Lonchura striata: one gene and its partner. The protein of the gene in region 1 purifies or fractionates together with the protein of each later gene. This does not show direct contact. Links are inferred from orthologs where the notes say so. Each region holds a gene or a part of one and is shown in the gene's direction. Other genes may lie near its edges. The genes, in order: MED16 and CDK19.

Region 1 (3,907 bases):
TTTTCCACAGCTGCCATGGGGGCAGATGGGGGCATTCTGGGGGTCTCTCTGTGTGCCCCCCGGCTTCGTGGCATGTGCCAAGGTTTGCTCGGGGCAGGGCGTGCCCTGGGGATCTTTGCTGGCTGCTTTGCCCCAGCATGATGACACCGACTGCCATTAACCGTGGGCACCCCCAGAGCCTGGGGAACCCCTCGTGGGCACCCCCAGAGCCAGGGGCGCCCCTCGCTCCTCCTTGGCTGGTGTGGCGTTCAGAAACAATAAAAACGGTGCTCCCCTACTCCGGCTCTGTGTCTCCATGTGGGGAGGGGGAGGAGGGAGGTTTTTGGGGGGTGGCGGAGCAGCTGGTGGGGCACGGGATGGAAAATGTGGGTGCGGGGAGGTGCGAAAAATATGGAACGCTTCACGAATTTGCGTGTCATCCTTGCGCAGGGGCCATGCTAATCTTCTCTGTATCGTTCCAATTTTAGTATATGTGCTGCCGAAGCGAGCACGAACTGCCCTGCACCCGCAGCGCTATTTAAAGACTCACAGAAATAATATTGTCATGATAGGGTGAATGAGGTGCGGCCCAATATTAGACGCGGAATGAGCTTCCCAAGTGTTTCTCAGTTTTTTTCTCTGTTATTTTCTTGGATTTTCCCCAAATTGTCCGAAATTCGCCGGTTATGTTTGCTATCTCTGCCCGATGCATTGTGGGTAGTTTGTTATGGTAATTATACCCTGCTGGATGGCTCTCTCTGCGGGGGTGTCTGTGGCAGTGCCTGAGCGCGCGGCGCAGGCGCGGGCCGGGCAGCCCGCGGGCGGGCCGGGGTCCTGCAGAGCGGCGGGCGCCGGTGAGGGCGGCGGGACCGGGAACGGACCGGGAACGGGCCGGGAACGGGCCGGGAGCCTCCCGCGGCCTCCCCGCGACCCCCCGGAACCTCCGGGACCGTCCCCGGCGAGGGGGGACGATCCTCCTGCCCGCCGTACGGTCGGTACCCGCGGGCCGCTCCCCCCGGGACCGCCGCGGTTTGTCCCGGTGCGGGGCTGTTCCCACCCGTGTCCCCAGGGCTGTGCCCCCCCCCATGGCCCCTGAGGTTGGGATTCCCTGTGTGTGACCGGCCTTGTGTCGCCCCCAGGCAGGACCGAGGCTGTCCCGTGTCCAGTATCCCGTGTCCAGTGTACCGTGTCCGGTGTACCGTGTCCGGTGTACCGTGTCCCGGTGGGATGGATCTGGCCTACGTGTGCGAGTGGGAGAAGAAGCCCAAAAGCAACCACTGCCCCTCCATCCCGCTGGTGTGCGCCTGGTCCTGCCGCAACCTCATCGCCTTCACCACGGACCTCCGCAATGAAGAGGAGAAAGGTACCGGGAGCCCCTCGGGAAATCCCTGCTGGCAGCTCCCGGTGCTCCCGGGAGAGGCCAGGATCCGCCGGGCCGCAGCTCTGCCCTGCCCCGGGCAGTTCCGGGCTGCTGCTCCTCCTTTTCCTTCTATCCCTCAGCCTCTGGCAGCGTCTCACACGCGTTTGTTTCCTCTAAACCAGCACCGACTTCCCAAATCTACACCATGCTGGCTCCTCACTGAGCTCCCAGCAGAGTTGCTACCCTGCCCCAAATGATTTCTATAAAATATTTTATATTTTCCCTGCACCAGCTGAGGCTCAGGAGCAGTGCCAAGGCACAGGGAGTCACTTCTCTGTTCACACAGATCTCACCCACATGGTCCATATCATCGACACCGAGCACCCCTGGGATGTCTACTCTGTGAACTCGGGCCACACCGAAGTCATCACCTGTTTGGAGTGGGATCAGTCAGGTGGGCTGGGCTCCCTCCACATTGGCACCGTGTCCCACCCCTGCTGTGTATGTCCCCAAGGGGTGGGCTGTGATTCCTTGTGGGGTTTTGGCTGTTTCCCCCATTCTCATGCAGTGTCACTGTCACAGGCTCCAGGCTGCAATTCCTTGTGGGGTTTTCTCTGTTCCCCCATTCTCATGCAGTGTCACTGTCACAGGCTGTAATTCCTTGTGGGGTTTTGTCCATTCTCCCCCATTCTCATGCAGTGTCACTGTCACAGGCTCCAGGCTGCTCTCAGCAGATGCTGATGGCCACATCAAGTGCTGGGGCATGACAGATCACCTGGCCAACAGCTGGGAGAACACGGTGGGCAGCGTGGTGGAGGGGGACCCGGTGGTGGCCCTGTCCTGGCTGCACAACGGCGTCAAGCTGGCTCTGCACGTGGAGAAGGTTTGTCTCAGCTCCGTGGGGGATCTGGGCTGGAGCTCTGGCTCAGGTCTTGGCAGAGAACTCAGGATCCTGCCTGTGTTCCGTGCTCTGGGCTCTCTTGTGGCCTTGGGGAATTTTTGCAGTCAGAGAGAAGTCAGATTCCTGGTTCCTGCTGAGTTCTGAGGGGGGTTGGAGCCTTGTTTCTTTTGGTGTTTCAGGTGTGTCTCTCCTAGTTTGGTACCTCATTTCTAGGCAGGAACACGGAGATAGAGCAGTTCTTTCCTCACCTGTGGTGATTCAGAGAAAATGCATATGGAGTGCTGAGGTTTGATCTGGGCATTTGTGCACAGACCTCAGCTCCTCATGTGTGATCCTGCAGACTCTGAAAGCCCAAAGCTGCCGAGCACAAGTTCCCTGCTTGTGTTGGGGATGTCCCACATAAATCCTGCCCCTGTCCCTCGAGAAGAGCCCCGCAGGCACAAATTTTGGCCGCAAACACTTTGGTTTTGCTGACCTTTGTTACAGTCCGGAGCCTCGAACTTCGGCGAGAAGTTCTCGCGGGTGAAATTCTCCCCGTCGCTGACGCTGTTTGGGGGGAAGCCCATGGAGGGCTGGATTGCTGTGACCATCAGCGGGCTGGTCACCGTGTCCCTCCTCAAGCCCAACGGGCAGGTGCTGACGGCCACCGAGAGCCTGTGCCGCCTGCGCTGCCGCGTGGCCTTGGCCGACGTCGCCTTCACGGGCGGGGGCAACATCGTGGTGGCCACGTCCGACGGCAGCAGCACGTCCCCCGTGCAGTTCTACAAGGTGTGTGTCAGCGTGGTGAACGAGAAGTGCAAGATCGACACCGAGATCCTGCCCTCCCTCTTCATGCGCTGCACCACCGACCCCGCGCGCAAGGACAAGTACCCGGCCATCACCCACCTGAAGTTCCTGGCTCGGGACATGTCAGAGCAGGTGGGAAGCTGCTCTCTGCTCCACCTGGTCTTCCTCACAGGGTCTGGGGTGGCCAGCTGTTGGATAGATAAATGTAATTATTCATAAATAATACAGCCAAGATGAGAACGGTCCTCCCTGCTAGCCGGACAATGTCCCTGCCTACAGATGGGTCCAGGGGTCAAGTGGACTGTTCCATCTCACCCCCCAAAATGTACGGTTCACCCCACACCTGTAACCCTCCCCTAAAACATCAGGTGTCTGTAACCCCATTGGCCCAAGTCTTGTTCCAGCCTGTTGCAGAGGATAGATAGATATGATTGTTATTTTAGCTAGCCGGATGTCACTTCTACCCTTGGATGAATCCTGGAGTGAAATGGACTGTTCCATCCCACCCTGCAAAAAATTGTGGTTCATCCCGCACCTCTGTACCTGCCCCTAAAACAGAGTCTGTAACCCCATTGGCCCATACCTTGTCCCAGCCCACCTGGGAGCCCCTAATAAGGGGGCTCTGAGCGGCCATGCGGCCTCTTGGCCCTCTCCTCCCCTCTTGGACTTCCTCTCTCCCTGGGGCTTCCCCTCTCCTAAACCCTCCGTTTCTCTCTCCCCTCCCCCGTCCTCCTAAGCCCAGCCACGTGCTACGCCTGAGAGCACGAGGCTTGGGCATCCCTGAATTCTCCAATAAACCTCTTCCCCCAAGAGCAAGCTTCAGAGATCTCTGCCTCCCTACACCCCCAACCGTGCACAGGAGCCTACTCATCCCACACCAG
Region 2 (3,907 bases), on another chromosome or scaffold:
ATGTAACCTGCAGGTCAGGTCAAGGCTGACCTTACACTCCCTACAGCTCCCTGAAAGGAAGCTGTAGGTGCGGGTCAGCCTCTTCTCCCAGACAACAGGTGACGGGATGAGAGGAGATCATCTCAAGCTGCTCCACTGGGGGCTTATGCTGGACATGAGGAAGAATTTCTTTACAGACAGGGTCATTAGATTTTGGAATGGAATGCCTGGAGAGGTGGTGGAGTCACCATCTCTGGAGATATTTAGGGAAAGAACGGACATGGCACTTAGCGCCACGGCCTGTAGTTGATATGGTGGTGTTTGGTCATGGACTGGATTCGCTCTCAGAGGTCTTTTCCAGCCTGACTGACTCTGTGATTCTGTGTGACTCTTCGTACAGTTGCCTCTGCCTGGCACTTCCATAATGCAAGTAAGATTGCAGACTGGTGCTTTTCACAAAAAAAGATCTTCGAGAGACCAAGACATAACATTAAAAGGCCTGAATGTTTCTGTGATCTCAAAGTGCTTTGACGAAATCTGAACCCCAAAGCAGCGCCGCGTTTATCTAAAAATCTCTCTGCTCGGGGCTGAAGGGGCACAGCCTTGCTACGGCATCGGATCATAAAGACGCAGCAATACGCCTGGCTTCTATCCGAGCGCAAACACAGTATGTACCCCCGTATTTCTGTAAGCGACCGGTTTATTTAGCAGCACCTAACGACGCGAATCCTAGCAGGATTCCCGTTTCCAACATGGACCCGCAGCGCCAAGCCCTGGAGCCGGCCGGGCCCGGCCCCGCCCGCCGCACGGCGGGGCAGCACTGACCAATCACAGGGCAGCATCCCGCAGGGAGGCGGGGCCGGACCGTGAATGGCAGCTGGCGAGATAAACAAGTCGCCGCACTGTTCGGCGCCCCGCAGCATGGGTGCGTGTGCACTGTCTGCTCCTCTGTTCCTCCCTCCATCTCTCCCTGCCAGCCAGAGGCGCCGCGTCCGGCTGTGCTCGCCGCTCCCGCCTGTGCGCGCAATGTGAAGAGTCAGCAAGTTCCCAGCGGCCGCTGAAACGCTCCGGTGTCTCCGGAGAGGGCAGTGCGCCGACGCCGCCCGGCCGGGGTGGCCCGAGGCATGCCGGGAGTTGTAGTTCTGCCGCTACGGCGTCCTGCCTGCGGCGGCGGGGCCGGCTCCCGCAGCCGCACTACGACTCCCGGCACCTCGCGCGCCGCGCCGCGAGGAGCCCAGTTGAAGCGGGTGGCGGCGGCGGAGCGCGCCCCCTCCCCCCCGCCGAAAAGCCCCAAACCAAAACAAAAACAAACCGGCCCCCCGTCCCCCTCGCCCGCCGCCCCCGCCGAGCCCCGGACATGGCGGCGCCGGGAGGGGGCTCCGCCAGCTGCGGCTGCTGATCCGGCCGCCGCGTCCCCCTGCCCGCCCGTCCCTCCCCGCCCATGGGCGAGACATGGACTACGAGTTCAAGTCGAAGCTGGCGGCCGAGCGCGAGCGGGTGGAGGACCTGTTCGAGTACGAGGGATGCAAGGTGGGCAGAGGCACCTACGGGCACGTCTACAAGGCCCGCCGCAAGGACGGGTAAGGGCCGCGCCGAGAACCCCCTTCCAACCCCCCCATCCCCCCGCACCAGCGCCCTCCCCTCCCTCCCTCCCTCCTCGGAAAGTTTCTGGCAGCGCGGGGGCCGGAGCGCGGAGCCCGCCCGGGTAGCGCCCGCCCCGCGCCGGGAGCGGGCCCCCTGCCCCGGCCCCGGCGCCGCTGCCCGGCTGCTCAGAGCGACGGAATCGGTTATCTGGAAGAAACCTCTGAGATCATCGAGCCCACCCTGTGACCGTACATCACCATGTTCAGCTATACCGTGGCACCGAGTGCCACATCCAGTTTTTCCTTAAACACCTCCAGAGACGGAGATTCCACCACCTCTCTGGGCGGCTCATTCCAATGTCTAATCACCCTCTATGTAAGCAGTCCTACCTAATGTTCAACCTAAAGCTCGTCCCGCTCTGCCCCGTTTTCCCCCCGCCATCCCTGGTGGTGCGGTGTCAGCAGGCTGTGCCCTGGGGTCGCCTTTGCTTTGCACGCCGTGTTTCAGGTCGTCGCTTTCGTCTTTTGTGTGACCGCGTTCGTAATTTGACGGTCTGTTCCGATTACTGGCAGGGGATTGAGAAGGGAGGAGCACCTGGCTCCCGACGGCCCCTCCCCGGCTGCTCCCTCCCTGTGTGTTGGTCCCTGGTGTGTCCCCAGCCCCAGGCACCCTGCTGGTGCCAGTGCCGGGCAAGCTTGGCTTGATGGCCTGTCCGGGATGCTCCTTGTAGGCAGAGCTGGTGGCTTCTGTCCAGTACCAATGCACAGGTGTGTCTCCATCAGTTTCCCATGAAAGAGCAGGATACAAGTCCCTGTCCCTAAACACTTGGCTGGTGGCTTTATACAGAGAGTCCTTTAGGCGTTAAGCCCATGTATGTTGGCTAAGCAAGGTTTATTCTCTTCTTTGGGGAAAGCCAGTATCATGGGATAAGTATTCCATGGATGCTGTTTTCACAGTATTGTGGTTAAGAGAGCAGTGGGGAGGTAGGGTTGCAATTTGAGATTGTTTGACTGGCATACAGTTGTTAAAGGGGAGCAGTCCTGAGGCCTGAGCAAGGCTTTGTGCAGGTGTGGGTTCCAAATGGAATAATTTGCTTTCAGAAGAGCCATTGAGCACTTTTTCACTGTGATGTGTGCCTGGTGCACAAACCCAGGCTGTGTTTTCAGAGTGTTCTAAGCATACTGTAAGGTTGGATAAAATATACCTGTGAATTACAGGTGATTCCTTTCTGTCAGAATGTTAAAGGGAATAGCCTTCCATTATAGCCAATGGAAACTTTGAAAAAGAAGAGACTGAACGTGGAAAAATGACAACTTTTATTTAAAATTTTGGAAGTGGTTAATGGAATGCTGCTGCTTTAGATTAGTAGAGAAGTCTAGGGATTCTTCTGTAGGATTAAATGGCATTCTTGTGTGTCGTGAAAATTTAAACTCTGAATTAGGAGGTTGTAGTATAAAAGTGATTAATAACTGAAAGGTAGACACTAATTCCAGTGAAGGATTAACTACCCAGAAATGAGCTCTGATTCTGACTAGCTTGCTCTGCAACCTTAGGAATACTAGAGCGTAACTAACTTGAAATATCAAAGCTTTTCCAGGTATTACAGTGCCACTGAGCTCTTCCAATATTTTTGAGTTAAGTGATCCTGGTTGCTTCTTTTTCCTAATTATTAATTTATATATATATATGTAAAACATACATGGGATAGGAGGAAAGTGGTAATAAGGAAAGGAAGCAGTAACAAAACCACCAAAAATGCTAGTTAGATGTCTGTTGCTGTTCTTTGATATAGTAAGCCTAAAATTGCTGCTTGTATGAACAGCATAAAAAACGGCAGCACTTGGATTTACTGTTTCAAGAAAGAAAGAAATTCGGAGTAAGTTAAAGTCAGACATTTTTCCTTTCCATCATCTGAAAGGAAAGCCATCACAGGAATTATATTGCTGCTACAAAGCACCATAAAGAACATGTCTTCAAAATCCCTAATGATATGACAAATGCAAATGGGTAGTAAAGCAAAAGTAAATATGATAAAAAGATAGCTAATGTGTCAGAGCTGGGAATAATCAAAGGGAGACCTTGAGCTGTAAGACAACTAACTGGTAAAAGGAAGTGCAAAGTTTCAGTGCTGTCAGATAGATTGACATATAATATAACATGGCACAAATTCAACTGTACTATATACTCAGAGGCTTTACTTCATGAAGTTTGAAAGTGACTTATTTTTTCTCTTTTTTCTTTATATTAATTTTATGGCATTGGTGAGTTCACTCTTAGTTGCTCTTGTGTAAATTTAGATCATTGGGTGAAAGTAATATGTGAACAATTTAGGAAAATATTAGAA

The links.
Region 2: the proteins of MED16 (region 1) and CDK19 purify together in Homo sapiens (affinity purification with mass spectrometry; 6 studies listed by BioGRID and IntAct, counting the BioPlex papers as one, with this or other methods). This does not show direct contact. The link is inferred for Lonchura striata from reciprocal best matches to the Homo sapiens genes MED16 and CDK19.

The regions. Positions count from the first base shown.
Region 1 is NC_134630.1:4,456,118-4,460,024, reverse strand, and holds the start of MED16 (mediator of RNA polymerase II transcription subunit 16), read left to right. Parts: upstream 1-813; 5' UTR 814-833; intron 834-861; exon of another isoform or gene 862-970; intron 971-1,118; 5' UTR 1,119-1,206; coding exon 1,207-1,342; intron 1,343-1,685; coding exon 1,686-1,793; intron 1,794-2,052; coding exon 2,053-2,222; intron 2,223-2,726; coding exon 2,727-3,158; intron 3,159-3,907. UniProt on the Homo sapiens protein: Component of the Mediator complex, a coactivator involved in the regulated transcription of nearly all RNA polymerase II-dependent genes.
Region 2 is NC_134605.1:68,779,265-68,783,171, forward strand, and holds the start of CDK19 (cyclin-dependent kinase 19), read left to right. Parts: upstream 1-1,328; 5' UTR 1,329-1,431; coding exon 1,432-1,559; intron 1,560-3,907.